Caenorhabditis elegans: one gene and its partner. The protein of the gene in region 1 interacts with the protein of each later gene in a pairwise test. Each region holds a gene or a part of one and is shown on either strand. Other genes may lie near its edges.

What was found. Proteins that work in one complex are often made in the same cells at the same time.
Region 2: the proteins of exc-14 (region 1) and stam-1 interact in a two-hybrid assay, tested with the Caenorhabditis elegans proteins (one large-scale study listed by BioGRID).

The regions. Positions count from the first base shown.
Region 1 is NC_003283.11:5,040,232-5,049,772, forward strand, and holds exc-14 (RING-type domain-containing protein), read right to left. Parts: upstream 5,973-9,541; 5' UTR 5,938-5,972; coding exon 5,917-5,937; intron 5,497-5,916; coding exon 5,309-5,496; intron 5,210-5,308; coding exon 5,105-5,209; intron 4,330-5,104; coding exon 4,227-4,329; intron 4,173-4,226; coding exon 4,008-4,172; intron 3,951-4,007; coding exon 3,729-3,950; intron 3,683-3,728; coding exon 3,572-3,682; intron 2,489-3,571; coding exon 2,201-2,488; 3' UTR 2,147-2,200; downstream 1-2,146. Other genes in the region: K11D12.8 (uncharacterized protein), read right to left, coding at 107-358, 608-764.
Region 2 is NC_003279.8:5,899,881-5,906,537, forward strand, and holds stam-1 (Signal transducing adapter molecule 1), read right to left. Parts: upstream 4,816-6,657; 5' UTR 4,760-4,815; coding exon 4,754-4,759; intron 4,448-4,753; coding exon 4,340-4,447; intron 4,158-4,339; coding exon 3,966-4,157; intron 3,764-3,965; coding exon 3,566-3,763; intron 3,513-3,565; coding exon 3,262-3,512; intron 3,098-3,261; coding exon 2,665-3,097; coding exon of another isoform or gene 2,635-2,664; intron 2,568-2,634; coding exon 2,382-2,567; 3' UTR 2,225-2,381; downstream 1-2,224. Other genes in the region: tyr-4 (ShKT domain-containing protein), read left to right, coding at 1-248, 295-387, 645-979, 1,347-1,676, 1,730-2,154.

The DNA of each region.
Region 1 (9,541 bases):
CGTAGATCAAAAAAAATTATTTTAGTTCAATATTTTAACTATGTTTAAAAATTCATATACCGTCACTTTAGGGGTTCCAACATGCGAAAGTTATACAAAAATGCACCTTTCAAATCTCCAAACGAGTTGTCAGTTCCAGATCTTCCAGTTTCAGATCTTCCCGTCTCATTTCTCTGAGAATCATTCCTTCTTCGCCGATTAGCATTGTTCCATACGATGTCTCGAAGTGTTCCCGATCTCATCATCGGTGGTCCATTTCTCCCGCAATCCATTGCAACAATTGCAGCAAATATCAACGCAAGAATTACAACGATTACAGCCAGGACTAGAAGCTGTGTCTCGCCACGTGTCCACACATCTGGAATGAGCAAAGCTTACTAGTTAGGCTGAGCGGAAATTTCCAAAAATTTCAAAATCGGCAATTGTAGAATATGTAATCGGAAAAAATTCCAATTACTTCAAAAATTGGGTTTTGCTAATTTTTTAAGTTCTTGATCTAAAATTTGTTTGAACGCGATATATTTCAAATCGCCGAAAAACTTTAATTGACGCCCACACCTGCTACATAATTAAAGACATGCAAACTACTGATATTTCTAGAACATACCGAATCCATCTCCAATATTATCTAAATTAAATGGATTCTCAGCTGCCATGAGCCCTGGTGTCGTTGTAGCCATATCCTCCATATCCTGATATTTGGCGTAAAATGTTGCGTAGAGCATGCTACGTTTCGATCGAAAACCGATTACCTCTTCAACCATCTGAAATTGATAGTACTACGTAAGAGGGGAGTGGTGCGAGTACTACGTTGTTTTTGTCGTTTTGACATGTTTTGACAGAGAGTAGGTAAAAAGAGAAAAAGATGGAGGGACAGAAAAAAAAAAAGTGAATTTTGGTGACGGTGATAATACTGATTTTTCTTCATTTTTCTCTTCCCCATCTATCTGTCCCGTTTCTGTTTTTGTTCGTTTCGGTTTGATCGATTATTCGATTTTATTCCTTTGCCCGTTATTTTTATGCGATGGGGAGGGAATCGAGAGGCGCTTCTTTTCTTTTTTGTTGTTAGTCAACAATATGGAAATTGCGGGAGAGTTTTTGAATTCTTGAAAAACGGGAAAATGGGTCTTGCCACGCTGACCATGAGTTATAGTAACTTGTAACAATTTATGACCATAAATTGCATCAAAAGTTTCAAATTACGATACATAAACGAAAATTTGTTGCTACAATTTTTTTGAGGGGATTTCAAAAATAATTTAGCTTTAAACTTTATATAAACTTACCATAAAATGACACAAATTACAGTAATTTGTTGGAAGCGTGGTGAGACCCAAACGCGTGAAATATGGCAAAAAATCCAATTTTAGAGTCCACGTAATATTGTAAAATATTTATCGAAAAAAAAGGGTCGTGAAACCGAATTGAACTGTTGAAAAACATTTGAAAATTATTCTAATTTTTTTTATGATACTTTGAAAAAATATTTTGCAAAAAGGCTTATTTTTTAACCATTTTTCCGCAAATTTAATTGATTTTTTACAGTTTCTACAAAACAAGCAAATCTATTTGAATTTGCCGAAAAACTCTAAAAAAGTTAACCTGGGCTAATCAGTCATTCAAAATTTTTTGTGCAAAATTTTAAAAAATCACAAAAAATTTTGAAAAATTTAATTTTTCAATCATTTAAAATGGGTCGTGAAACTGATTTGAACTGTTAAGAAACATTTTAAAAACATTATAAATTTTTTTCAGATTTTTAATACAATATTTTGTAAAAGAAACCAACTTTTTGCCCGTTTTTCGGGAAATTTAACTGATTTTTTTAATAGTGTCCGTTTGTGAAGGTAACAAACCAAGAAAATTAATTTTAATTTGCCCCGAAAACTCCAAAAAAAGTTTACCTGGGTTAATCCGAAATTCGAAATTTTCTTTGCAAAATTTGAAAAATCCAAAATTTTGAAAATTTTTAAATCTATTTTCCATTATTTTATGCAAAACTGAAAGTTGTGCATTCCGATAATCTCATCACGATTCAAAACAATATCGCATTATTTTCAAAATTTAGGATCTAGATATTTGTTGCTAGATACCATAACTTTAATTCTATCTCGTGCTACTTTGTAATATCACACTACTACATATATTACCAATTGATCAAAACATTTATGAAAACAAAATAAATGTTTAGTTGTATTGTTCACATGAACACTGTTATTGAATTTTCAATTGTCGACCTGCACGTTGGACACTCTCGAAAATCGCTTGCATCGTAGCAGCCGGAACATGTGATCAGATGACGACACGGCATGAAAACAATTGATGGTTTTGTTGCCAAACATATGCAACACTCGGCTACCAGCTTCTCCTGAAGACGTTGAAAATCGCGATTACGTGATCGAAGTTGCTCTTCGACTTCCTCGACACGACGTTCCATTGAGAGTTTTGATTCGTGAACATTGGTCTCTAGTTGTGGGAAACTCTCAAACTGAAATAAAAATCTATGAGAAAAGGAATCGAAATAGTTGAAAATATTATTACATAGGGCTTGCAATGACAAAATAATGTTTGGAAAACATTTCAGATCAAGGATAAAGTGCGGAAACTTTTTTTTGGCAGTTTTAAGCGATTGTGTCAAAAAATAAAACACAATTTGATAAATATTAAAATATTATTTACTTTACTTTAAAAATGCGAAAAAATTCTCCGAAAATGTACGAAAGTTTGACGAATTACTGTTTTTTTTTCCCGGAAATTGACGACTTCTACGTCTGTGGGTTTTCGCCCCAAAATTTTTTATGATTTTTTTTTCAAGTTTGTTCAAAAATTTGGCTGAGTTATTTTCGAATTTAATGCCAAAATTAATAACCTAGCTTCAACATTTCCGCGTTTTTTTTTTCGGATAACCTTATTGGGATTATTGATTTTGAACATGATTTGTAAATTTTTCAGACATTTTTCCATTGAAAACTTAATAATCCAAAAATATTCACTGAAGCTCTAAAATTAGCTCAACATGCGGAAAAATATCAGAAAATTTTAAAATTGTTGTGTTTCAAAAAAAAATTTAAAACAAAAAAATTAAAATAACCGAAAAAAAATTAAAACTACATGGCCATTCATTTGAATTTTTTTTTTGCAAAATTGAAAATATTTTTCAAAAAAAGGAATATTCTATGAATTAATGACAGTTGCATTCGATGTATTGAAACAGTTGTGTGCCATTTATGGGGTTATTCAAGTAATGTAGCAGAATGTATTTAAATACATTTCTGACGTCACATATGTATTTAAATACATATTTTTATGTACTTGAATACAGTTGTGACGTAATTTTTCTACACTTTTAAATTTTCCGACAATACTTGAATAACCCCATTAGATGTAAATAAACCCACAGACGCTACTCTTTTGAATTGATCTACATTTGTTTTTTTAGTATTAGCGCTTAAAATATGAGTAATAAAATCAAATTTTTACATTTTTACGTTGAACAATGCCAATAAGTTTTGAAAACGTTGATAAAAATGTGATAATTAACCCGTACAGAATATAGCAAGTTTCAACTAACCAATTCTTTGTAGAGCATTTTGACAGCATTGATGTTTGGCAAAAATTCAGTTGAAAGGTCGACAAGTTGACTGTGTTTCTTTGTTAATTCATCGAGCAGCACCAATGGCTTCTGGAATAATTAAAATATTCCTTAATATAACTGTTAAATAACCAACCAATTGATAACTTTTCTCCTCCATTCGTTTTGTAACATTAGTCTGTTCATCCAACAGGTTACTCTTCCGTTCCAGCTCCATCTCGACGTCGGTCTTCTGCTTTTGAAGGTTCAAAATCTCCTCGTCTTTTCGTGCTTTCTCTTCAGAATAAATTTTTTTACGATGCTCAGACAGCTCTTTTTGGTCGTGAATTTCTTGTTGTTGGCGGTAGTTTTGGATTGTCTAGAGAGCTAATGTTATAGTTAAAGGTTAAAAAATGTCAATTTCCAAGTAACCAACCAGTTTATCAAGTGCATCAGCTGTCTCTACTCTCTCTTCCATCAGCCTATTCATCTCATCTTTACAATCTTTCAAATCTTGCTCCGAATCTTCCAGAAGCCGCTTCAATTCTTGAACTTCTGACAAACACTGTTCTTTTTCATTTTCTAAATGGTTTATTCTATTCTGAAAAGACTCAAACTAGTTATGAGAGAGAAAGTTCATAAACAAGGTCACTACCTTAAGAATAGTGAATTGACTATCGACCTCCTTTCGATCACGTTCTTTTTCTCTTTCCAGTGTGGCGAGAAGGCGAACAATGTCGTGGGAGTCGCGGGTACTTCTGGAGGTTAAGAGGATTAGGTCAGGAACATTTATTGTGTTAGTTTTACTTTCAAGATGCAGTTTTTGTATATCACAATATTTTGCAGACACTTCTGAACTTGAAAAATAGTAAAAAAAAAGGTTTTTTGAAAAATTGCGACAAATTTTATCATTTTAATGTCAACTAAAGTGCACACTTACATTCAGGTTTTTTAGGACTTTACCTCGAAATTGACTTTTGCAGGGGCTGACACAAAATATATTGTAAAAGCAGTTTTGCGATTTTCGTACAAAAATATGGTACCCGGTCTCGGCACGACAAGTTTGTGTCTAATTTCAGAAAGTGCGCTCCTTTAAAGATTACTGTACATTCAAATTTTTGTTGGTGCGGAATTTTCATTGATTTACGATAAGCACGTGGAGTCAGAAAGCCCCATTCCGCTTTGATCTACGAAAAATGCGGGAGGTGAGACGAAGATATCTCAACTGATTTCGCATGATTAAGAGTGCTGACGTCACAATTTTCTGGGAAAAATTTCCCGCATTTTTTGTAGATCAAACCGCAATGAGACATCCTGACATCACGTAGATAAAAATATATCTAAATGTATTATTTTCTAAACTCAAATATAACTATAATGTGAATTTTAACAAATTTTGAAAAAATTTGATACTACTGTAATCTTTAAAGGCGCACACCTTTTCGCATTTGGAAAAATAATGTCGTGTCGAGACCTGAGACCGTATTTTCGGCGCAAAAGTCGCAAATTATTGCGTATCGGTAATATACTTGCCTTGGAGTTGACAAATGAAACGATGAAGATCTCCCAACCGAAAGATTTCGATGAGACTTGGAACTATGCGGGTGTAAACTTGTCACAGAGCTTGACATCAAATCTCTGAAAACCAAAATTTTCAAAAAATGGAAAGTCTGCTCAATTTACTAGGTAGGCGGCAAAACACCTGCCTGCCTGCCTGCCTGGCCTTTACCTGCTTACCCTGGACTATTATGTTTCCTGCTCGACCGGGAGTCTCCTTTCCCTGTCACTTTATTCAGAATGTCCAGCATAACATCAAAGTTCTCGAATCGCTCGAATTCTTTCGAACCTTCTTTCGAGTTGGCTTTCAGAGCGGAGATGATCTCTTCTTGGTTGTAACCCCACTCGGATGCCAACTTTATTTGATCCTACACGAAATTAAACATTTGGAATAATTGAAAAAAAAAACTGAAGTTTCGTTTTATTTAAGTTACTATATCAATTTAATTATTTATCTACAAATTTCAAACATTAATTCAAACATTTCTAGACAAGCAGAGAGATTTTTCGACAAAAATACGGTAGCTGGTCCCGACATGACTATTTTTTGTTAAATGCGAAAAAGATGTGCGCCTTTAAAGACTACTGTAATTTCAAACTTCGAAATTTTCATTGATTTTTAAAAGTTTTTCTCATGGATTTGTGTATTGTTACAGCGACGAAATTTTGAAACTACAGTGCTTTTTAAAGGCGCACGCCGTTCTGAACTTTAAAAACAATTATTCGTGTCGAGACCGAGTACCGTACTTTTGACTCGAAAATCCAACTGAAAAAAGCGCCAAACTTACATGGATGGAAAGATCAGTCATAGTCGATGAAATTGATAATCCTAGGGAATTATTACCTCAAAATAGTTTTTCAAACTTTTTTTATTGACTCAAGAATTGCATATGCAAAAAAAAGGCTAATCAAACAAAAGGTGAATCGTGAAAAAGTACAAAAAAAAATGAGGAAACAGATGTTATCATATAGGCGTGAAGTTGCACATTGTGCAAACAAACAATAAAAACTTGGAATGGAAGCAGAATGGCAGAAGAGGTGGAAAAACGACGAGTGCTGAAAATTTATGCATTTGAAGTTTTCCGCGATTGCCACCAATCCGATTATTGTTTAGTACGTCAAGTTTTTCGGGTATCAATGCGGTGGGTTGTTGAGTTTGAATTCTGAAAAAAAAATGGAACGACGAAGGAGAACAGCCATAAAGTCTGGAAAAAAGGAATCGGATACAGATTACAGTTTTTGTAGGAACTCACAATCAGTTGTTCTTTTTTTTTAAATTTATTTTTTAAACTTTTAAATAGTTTTCCGTCCACTTAAATCCCTTGAATACGGACAAACAAAGAAAAACAGCTAACTTTCAGACTTGGAATTTTTCTACAGTAAACTTGAAACGCGCTGCGAGACCCAACCCTTCAAAGGCGCACGGATTTTCATACGATGGTCCGTCACGAAATGTGTTAGCTTGAGAAATTTGTTTTCGAAAATTTCTCGTTTTTAATTTTTGACCAAATAAATTCGAACTTTGCGCGTTTTTTTTTGCTTTTATTTTTTATTTTGAAACAATTTCAGGAATTTTTGATTTAAAAATAGTTTCGATTTCAGTTTTAAATTTCATTTATTCGAGTAAAAAAAGACTGGAAAATATTTTTTCAAAGTCAATTTAGAAATTTTATTTTTTGTAAATCCTGCAGCTCGAGTATTGCACGGAAATAATTGTGGCTATTCGTATTTTTTCAGGTTTTCCGTTTTAAACATTGTGAAAATATTTATATTTATGTTTTTAGATTATTTAATTCCACCGAACGTGGATCCACAGAGACCCGAAGAACTCGGGGGATGTCCAATTGGGGGGATTACCAACTCGGGGGATTGGCCCCGCCCACAGAACCGTGGCTTGCAATACGCCCATTTCTGCAACTGCCGCACGGTTATAAAATTATTTTTTCTTGTTATTTCTCGCTCTATTGAGAAAAATACAGGTTTAAAACCGTGCGGCAGTTGCAGAAATGGGCGTATTGCAAGCCACGGTTCTGTGGGCGGGGCCAATCCCCCGAGTTGGTAATCCCCCACGGCCTCCACCACGTGAAATGCGCAGAGAGAGCGCAGAGAAAAAGGCGGTCTCTGCGTCTCTCACCTCCACAGCATGGCGAGAGTGCGCGCTCAACCACCTCACTTAGAAGGAGTCGGGAAGAAAGGAAATTGCATATTTCTGAAAAGAAACAATTGGAACGGATAAAGAGTACTGTCCTCTACAGTCTGGCATAAATTTCACAGAATAGTTTTGTCATTGAAATAAGTGAAGAGAGTGAACATAATATTACACATTCCCCTCTAAAACGAGCAAGTTTAAGATTTTTTCCCAAATTTTTTTTGTAAAATGTATTCAATATATTCCCAATTAATGAGTTAATACAAAAAAACCCCAATAAATAAGTTATGAGAGAAACTTTTTGTGACATCAAACATTACAGCTCAAAATTTCAGCACTTTCCGGAAGCTAGTGACCGTAAAATGAAAGATTTCAAAAATCGGAAACAATACGATTGTTCTAATTTTTAATACGCACATTTTAACATATCACACATAAAAATCCGTCAATGTTGAAAGATGTTATTTGATCTAGAAGGTTGACTACAGTACTAAAATGACCAAATTTTCAGATTTTTCGCAATTTTCAGGAAATAGTTGGCTTGGAGTCAAAAATCGGAAACAATACGATTGTTCTAATTTTTAATACGCACATTTTAACATATCACACATAAAAATCCGTCAATGTTGAAAGATGTTATTTGATCTAGAAGGTTGACTACAGTACTAAAATGACCAAATTTTCAGATTTTTCGCAATTTTCAGGAAATAGTTGGCTTGGAGTCAAAAATCGGAAACAATACGATTGTTCTAATTTTTAATACGCACATTTTGACATATCACACATAAAAATCCGTCAATGTTGAAAGATGTTATTTGATCTAGAAGGTTGGGTGCTTTGGTACAGTACCCACTCTACTGCGCCCTCACACTTTGGATGCTCCTATCTCCGCTCCTATGAAAGTTACAAAAAAGTTGTCAACTAACAAAATGTTCAGTTTGACATTGTGAACATTTTTTCTGTTGACAATATTTTTCTAACTAGTAAGACAAATTTTTTACAGGCCCCGAAAGCCGTATTTATGAGAAAATCAGAGATCAGTTCATAACTCAAAAAATAAAGACATTAGAAGAAAGTAGTCAACTACAAATTTGTTAGATATCTTATATAGAGTATGTTTCCGATAGAAAACTCAATTTTAATGTTCAGGATTTTTTGACATGGCCAGTTTAAGATGATCAATTTTCAAAAGTCAAAATCTCTATTATTTTTGTAGATAGAAATGTAGTTCTTGCTGGTAAATGTTGTTTTTTATCTGCTTAACATTTTCTCAGTTGAACATATTTTTGTATCTTCAACGAGAACAGAGATTTGATGGTTTTAAGAGAGGGTACCGTATCTGGGACTTCAATCATCAAATCATAGCTGTATCTTTTTAGTGGAACGAGATATCAAAAAATTGTCAACTGTGGAAATGCTCGCCTATTTGTGATGTTTATTTTGTCAGTTCATCGCTAGTTTCTATCTCCAACGCGAAAAAAGTTGTAGTTGTTCAAAGTCCATACGATACATCCACTTGCCACGTGAAGAGCGAGAATCAGCCCGAAGCCACAGTCGTACATATTTTCTTTATTTAAACCGTTCAAATACACTCATCGTATTATATTTAACAATTTTCAATCTAAAAAAGTGCTCTTCTGTCCAGAATTCTTCTAATTCCAACTAATTCTTGCTAAAAATCACTGAAAAACAGATCGTATTAACTATTTATTGTAAGTTCCGACTTTCCATTTTATCAACTTCACTATTTCTGTGAAAAAAATTCGAAATTTCGTTCAAAAATAGCGATTCTAGCTCAATTTCATGAATATCTGTTGAAAGCGGCGGCGAGGCAAGGTGGTCGTCCGCAAACGCGCAAACAAAAAGCGAGAGAGTGTGCGCATTTCTCGTGCGGGAGGCCGTGATCCCCCCAATTGGACATCCCCCGAGTTCTTCGGGTCTCGATCCACAAGCTCAAACAAAAATTACTTCCGCAATTTCGCGTCAATTGTGATGCTTGCGTACCTTTTCTCCATTTCGAAACTGCCGCCGCAAACGTTTCCTCTCTCTCGCCGTTTTCCCATTCTATTTTCATTTTCAACCGCTATAGTTCATTCAGATTCGAGAGCGTCGAGACAACAAAATATCCTGTTTGAATTGGCGCTCGTCGACAACCTGCACATCACTGTTGGTCGCTGACGTCACCCCTCCCGCTGCGGCGTATATATACTCAGTCGATCGTCGCTGCTTGCTGCCAGATTGGTGAGTCGAATTTTCGCTCTCTT
Region 2 (6,657 bases), on another chromosome or scaffold:
AATTGTCTTGAATATACTCATGGAAATGTTCACATTTTTGTTGGAGGAGATATGTTCGACACTGCAACTTCTTCAAATGATCCTTCATTTTTCCTTCATCATGCATTTATTGATTTTGTATGGGAAGAATGGAGATTGGCAAGACAATCAAGAGCTGATCGGGAAATTGCATTCCCTCCTGATAATCAATTATGTGCTTCTGCACAACATTTTGGAGCATCTCCAATGCAGCCGTTCAGTCCAATGAGGTAAAGAAACTGTGAATTGATTACAGGGAAATGTAATTATTTTCAGAAATATCGATGGTTTATCCAATAAATATACAGATAACTTGTATAGTTATGCACCACGGCCAACATGTCAAGCTGGAGGCGATTGCGGTTCTAAGTGAGACTTTTTTGAAAATTATCAGAATAACCTAGGAAATGTTACGCAAATATTTGAAAAATTACAGCTATGCTATTTTTTGGCAGGGTTTAATTTTTTTAGAATCAAAAACTTTCAAGATAAAAAATTCATGTGAAACTTGAAAGATTGTCGTACAAGATATAAGATCATTTTTGATGATACATTTTCACACACTAAAAATTTGGAATATTCTTGATGTCTACCGTGGAAGACTTACTGGAATTTGTAAATTTCAGATTCCTTTTCTGTGACACTTCCACCGGGGCCGCCCGTTGTGTATCTCGTATTCGTCCAGGATCTCAATGTGGTCAATTCCGTGTGAATCCATGTTTCTCAGGAATCTGCCAAAACGGTGTATGTGTTCTCTCATCAACAGCTCCACGTCCAACACCTGCTCCAACAACTCCAACACCTCAAAATCCAGTACAATCTCAAGAATCATGTTTCAATGAGAATCAGTGTTGTGCATCATGGGCAGCATCTGGGGAATGTTCGAGGAATACGGCTTATATGAATGAATGGTGTAAGGCCAGTTGTGGTGTTTGTAAACCCAAATATCGACTGGCTGATGGTGAGTGTATTTTGTATTTTAGGATTTTTTAATTAAAAAATATTTAAATTACCACAAGGGTTTTTTCGGTAAAATTCTTTTTAAAAAGTTTGCTATTGTAATTTGGCAATTTCAGAAAATTAAAGGTACATGGGGTTATTTGAAAGGGTCCCACCGGGAAAAAGTTTATGGTATCTTTATTAGATTTTTCCGGCGCCGTTCATGTTTAGAAAGATAAAATTGAAAAATATAAACTCTCACATAAATGAAACAAATAAAAACTGACCAAAAATAATAAAAGTTCCTCCAAGCCCCATAAAAACCAAATAAACCCATGCACCTCTAAGTTCGTGTATCGAAAAACTGCAAAATTACGATAATTTTCCAGATTGCACTGATCGTCATACCCAATGCAGTAGCTGGTCCCGCTCCGGTGAATGCACCAAAAATCAACTCTGGATGACTGAAAATTGCCGTAAAAGTTGTAATAAATGTGGTAGATCACGTGCTCAAGAGTGTGGAGGAGGTGGTACTACAGTAACCACGACGACACCTGCTCCAGCTCAACAGTGTGATAATTCTGATGGTTGTTTCAATGAGAATGTTTGCTGTGCTGTATGGGGATTAATGGGAGAATGCCGAAAAAATACAAGATATATGGCATGTAATTGTCGAGTTTCATGTGGACATTGCTATCCTGAAGATTACAATTATGGATGTAAGCTTTATTTTTAAAAAAATATTTTTATAATTAAAAAATATATATTTCAGCATGCGTCGACTACCATAGATCATGTGCCGGATGGGCTCGTGTCGGTGAATGTCAGAAAAATCCATGGATGGCTGAGAATTGTAGATCAAGCTGTAACAGTTGCTATACTCAATCAGAGCTTCGTAGAATGTGTGGAACTACAGCTGGATCAGTTGCTCCAGTTGCACAAGTTCGTCAGACTAATCCATCTCGTCAACCACCACGTGGAGGTTGGGGACGTGACGATTTCGGAGATAATGGAGGATGGGGTGGAAATGGAGGTGGTGGATGGGGAAACAATGATCCATGGGGAGGATCAAGATGGGGTGGTGGAAGAGGTGGATGGGGTGGAGGTGGATGGGGAGGCGGTGGATGGGGTAAACGATCCATTCGAGCAGCCAATGCATCAATTTCAATGCCATCTTTTGATCCGGACCTCTTGTAATTTTTGTTACCTTTTCTCAATTTATCCGATTATTTTCGTGTATAATAAATATTTGCCTCAAACTCAATAAAGAATTCATTTTTATCTTATCGAGAACTCGAGGAAGCAAAAGACTATACAGAAACGGGTGGCGAATCGAGAAAAATAAGTTAGAAGTGATCACAATATCAATGGAACTAGTTACAGATTCAAGGAGGAAAAGGTGATATTCACAACAAATCAAAAAGTTAATATTGTTGAGGCTGTGAAGACGGAGCAGGCCATTGTTGTTGCTGTTGTTGAGGTTGGGGAACAGAATTCGGTGGGCATGCGTACTGTGGTTGTGCTCCAGGAGCCGGATAGTGTTGTGGAGGATATTGTTGTGGCTGCTGTTGTTGGACAGGACCGGTAGGTGGGTAATATGCTCGGTTTGGCTGAAAAATACGATTTTTTGAATTGATAGGCATTACCGTGAAGCTTAGAATGAAAAATTTCAGTTTTCTAAATATTTTTTTCTGAATAAAAACTGACTGGTTGCTGATAGTTGTACTGTTGCATTGGTTGTTGGTACATTCCTTGACTTTGATGCTGAAATCCTCCCTTCTGAATCGCATCATCATAAAGTGCGAGCACATCACGAATAGCCACATCGATTTGTGCTAGAGAGTTGCTCTGTCGATCAATACTAGCCAAATGTGCATCAATGAGATTTCCTTGAGCATACGAGGCGGCTTCTAGTTGGGCCAAATCCTCTGGATCCTGTCGTTCACCGGTAGGATCACATTCATGGAGTACTTGAAGACAACGAACAAGGATTGCTTCATTAATTGAGGCTACAACTTCTGGGGCTTTCTGTGATGAATCCGTCTCTTTTGATTTTAGATCATCGAGTTGATTAGTAACGAAGCTGGATGGGAAAAGTCCCTGTTGGGTACCAATACGACCAGTCCACCAGTGGGGATTGCTGCAAAAAATTGTTTTTTTTTTGATAATTGATAGAAGCAGTCAGTAACGAAAAGGTTCGGTATGATTAATTTTAAATTACAAAAAAAAAAACTGAAGAACTTCCTGATTTGATTTTTAAGCGATTGCTTTCAATTTAAACTAGAACACATTTTTGTTGCTTACCTTTCATCAGTAATTGTAATAATATCTCCAGCAACAAAAGATAATTCATTGCTTTCAGCAGCCTCAAAATCGTATAACGCTCGAACATTCTTTTCCGGAATATTCGAATTAGTCTGAACTGCTGGACTACTTGCTTTTGCTGATGGATACATTGTGGATGTTGATTTTTTTGCTTTTTCCTGTTTCTCTGCATCCGCCAATGAAGCAGCAATGGCTTTTGCGATTGCTTCTTCTTCCTGAGCAGATCCAACCTATAATAATTATTAATTTTTGATATTTATTGCCGCGAACTTCCACAACTCACATAATTCGGATCATTTGCAAACTTTGCATCAATCGCTTTCGTTTTACTTTTTGGATCATCCACAACAAATGAGTAGCCATCAGCAACAAGATTTTTGTGAAGAGTGACGATAAGTGACAGTGATTGTTCAGTTTTGCATTCTGTATCCACCCATTTTTGAACAGTTAATCGCATTTTTTCAGCAACTTGGCGTTGACTCTATAATAATTGTAAATTTTTGTATTTTTTTTTGTAAACGCGGTGAAATGTATCGTATTTTCGTATTATACTTATTTTTCTAACTCTATTTCTCTTTTTTATCTCTTTTCTGCGTATACTATATCTATTAAAGAAATACAAAACTTCATGAAAGAAATTTTGATATTTTGTTTAACAATTTCAGATTTAAACAAAAACTCACCGATGTACAAAGAGCTTTGAGTTCATTGATAAATTGTGCAGACGATACTTCCTTTCTGAATCTTTCTTCACAGTTTGCCCAACACGAATCAAGTACAGAAATCGCTAGAAGGACAACATGAGGATCACGATTGTTGAGACGTTTACGAAGTGATTTGATTCCTGTTTTCGATCCCTCGAAGTCGTTATTAATCTGAAAATTTTAAACTAAAACATTAAGTTTAGTCCAAAATCAATGATTTTCGGTGAAAATCAGCTAGCAAATTTAAGGAGGAAATTTTAATTTTAAAATATGATTTTTTATCAAACGACAAAGAATTCTATCTATAAATCAGTGAAAAGGTTTATACATTTTTTAAAACAAATTGAACGAACCATATCACAAAATGCGAGAATTCCCTCCCAATTCTCAACAGTGATAGTTGGAGCAGTGATTTTTCCGAGCAAATCCTCATAAGCAGACATTGGAAATGACTTTTGTTTCTGAAAATATAAAAAAGGAATATTACGAAAGAAAATTGAATCAATAACGGGTTTGCTTGTTGAATGTGTTAGTCGGGTGAACTGAAAGAGAGAGTGTAGGGGGATGAAGAGACATTAGACGGGTTAAGACACTGACGCATATGCTTTGTGTGTTCGTTCGTGCACACTTTTTTCTATGTTTTTGTTTTGTTTTCTTCCTTTCCGAAAACTTAATCATTTTTTACTGAATGAAAAAAAATCTATTTGAATGAACAATTACTCTTAACACTATTTTTAATTAAAGTAGAGATAGGAAAACGAACAAACCTTCATTGTTACAGCAGACTTTCAGCACGTGATCAGGTTCAATTGAATGAGTCTCACTGAAACTGAATATTTATTTCGAAATAATTTTCAAAAGCGTGATATTTAAAATATTGAGGGCAAAGACGATCGATATTCAATTTAGTTTGAGCAATTTGTTTATTTTTTCGAAAAAATGAATACTTTTGCCTTTCGCAATCGCAGATTTTCGAGAACTTGCGTCTCACGCGTGTACCAATCACATTCATGCGTTTAATTGAAAAAAAAAACATTTTAAAACTGCAATGCACATTTTTATAGAAAAATTAAATAACTTTCGAGAAAAATTAAATTCCAAAGAGAAGAAAGATTGTGGAATAATTCAAAAAAAATGATCTGAACAACTGTAGAATTCGTGGCAGACCCTCATGCTACAAATCGCGCGCTCCTTTAATCTTTCAAATTTTTTTCTCTGTTTAAACATGTTTTTTTTTAATTTTCAGTGTCCATGCTTTTTCTAAACTTTTAAAACTAAATGTTACTCAATAATTAGTTCAAAATTATTAAAAGTAGATTACTGGGACGTTTTTAATGTTTTTTCCTAAAAAATAATACTTTAGAACCTGAAAACGCTTCGTAACAAAATGTTCAATTTTTCGTTTTCAAAAAAATTTGTTCAGACTTCTATTTATTCCATTCATATTTCTTACTTCTCATCGTAATAGAATTTTTAAAAATTGTTGAAAAAAAATCCAAATCCAAATTGTTTATAAGCACAATTGTTTGCACTTTCATTGTTGATTCCACCTGCTTTTCGTTCTTTTCTCTCTCTCTCACCACTCTTCCACTCTGTGTTCATATAAATTTTCATTTCCGTTCGATTCTCTTCACCTAATTCGTCAAAAAGGGGCCCAACAACAGCCACAAGCGGTAGCTGCTGCCGATAGCGAGCCATAAAAATACATCGAAAACGACACGAAACATTATCGATTTAGTTATTTTTTCTATCTAGAGCCAATTCATATTTTTCTATCTAGAGCCAATTCACACGAATTTTTGCATGTGCTTATCAGTTTTTCGACGAAATTTTGTAAACTTGGCGAGTTGATATAGATTAATCAGTGTAATTTGTCCTGTGTACACTGTCTAGAGTTTCCATGTTTGATTTTTTTCAAATTTCAAGTTTGTGGTTTGCAAATAGCTTTGAAATTTTACTGAATGTTCTAGTTTTTTACTAACTCATTTGAATTTTGTAATTCAATGAAATTATATAAGTATTATTCTGGATCGGTTATCAATTTAATCGAAAAAGACGAAAAGTCAATCGACTTGATCATGCAATCCGCGCAAAACTGGTCTATGGCATGCGTAATACAACACATAATGTTCATCACCAACCCCGTGCCTCCCAAAATACACATTGGTACTCATTTTACTCACAAAAACTTTCATAACTTCTTTCTTTAAAGTTATATTTTATTCTTAGTCTTCTATATCGAAATTTTTTTTTGAAATTCGGTTTTAAACCTTAATGGTTTTAATTATTAATTAAAGTTAAAAGTGGACTACGACTAATGGGGAAATTATTAAAAACTATTCATATGCTGTTGAAATTACCGAATCTCGTTATAAAGATTTTCAAAAAATTTTGGAATTTTTTATTTCGAGTCAAATTTGAAAAATCTAAATCACTGTCGCATGTTTGAATCTCCACAATGTTGGAATATAAGTATTTTAAACATAATTAAGTCAAAAAATCGAAGAAAAATTCCATAATTTCCAAATTTTTTGACAATTTTATTATGACATTTAGTCATTTGGTCACAGCATAGGAATTATTTTACACATTCCCCACTGGCAGTAGCCAACCTTCAAGAGAACAACTAATAGGTTGTTAAAAATAATATTCCTAATGTCTGTTCTGAATA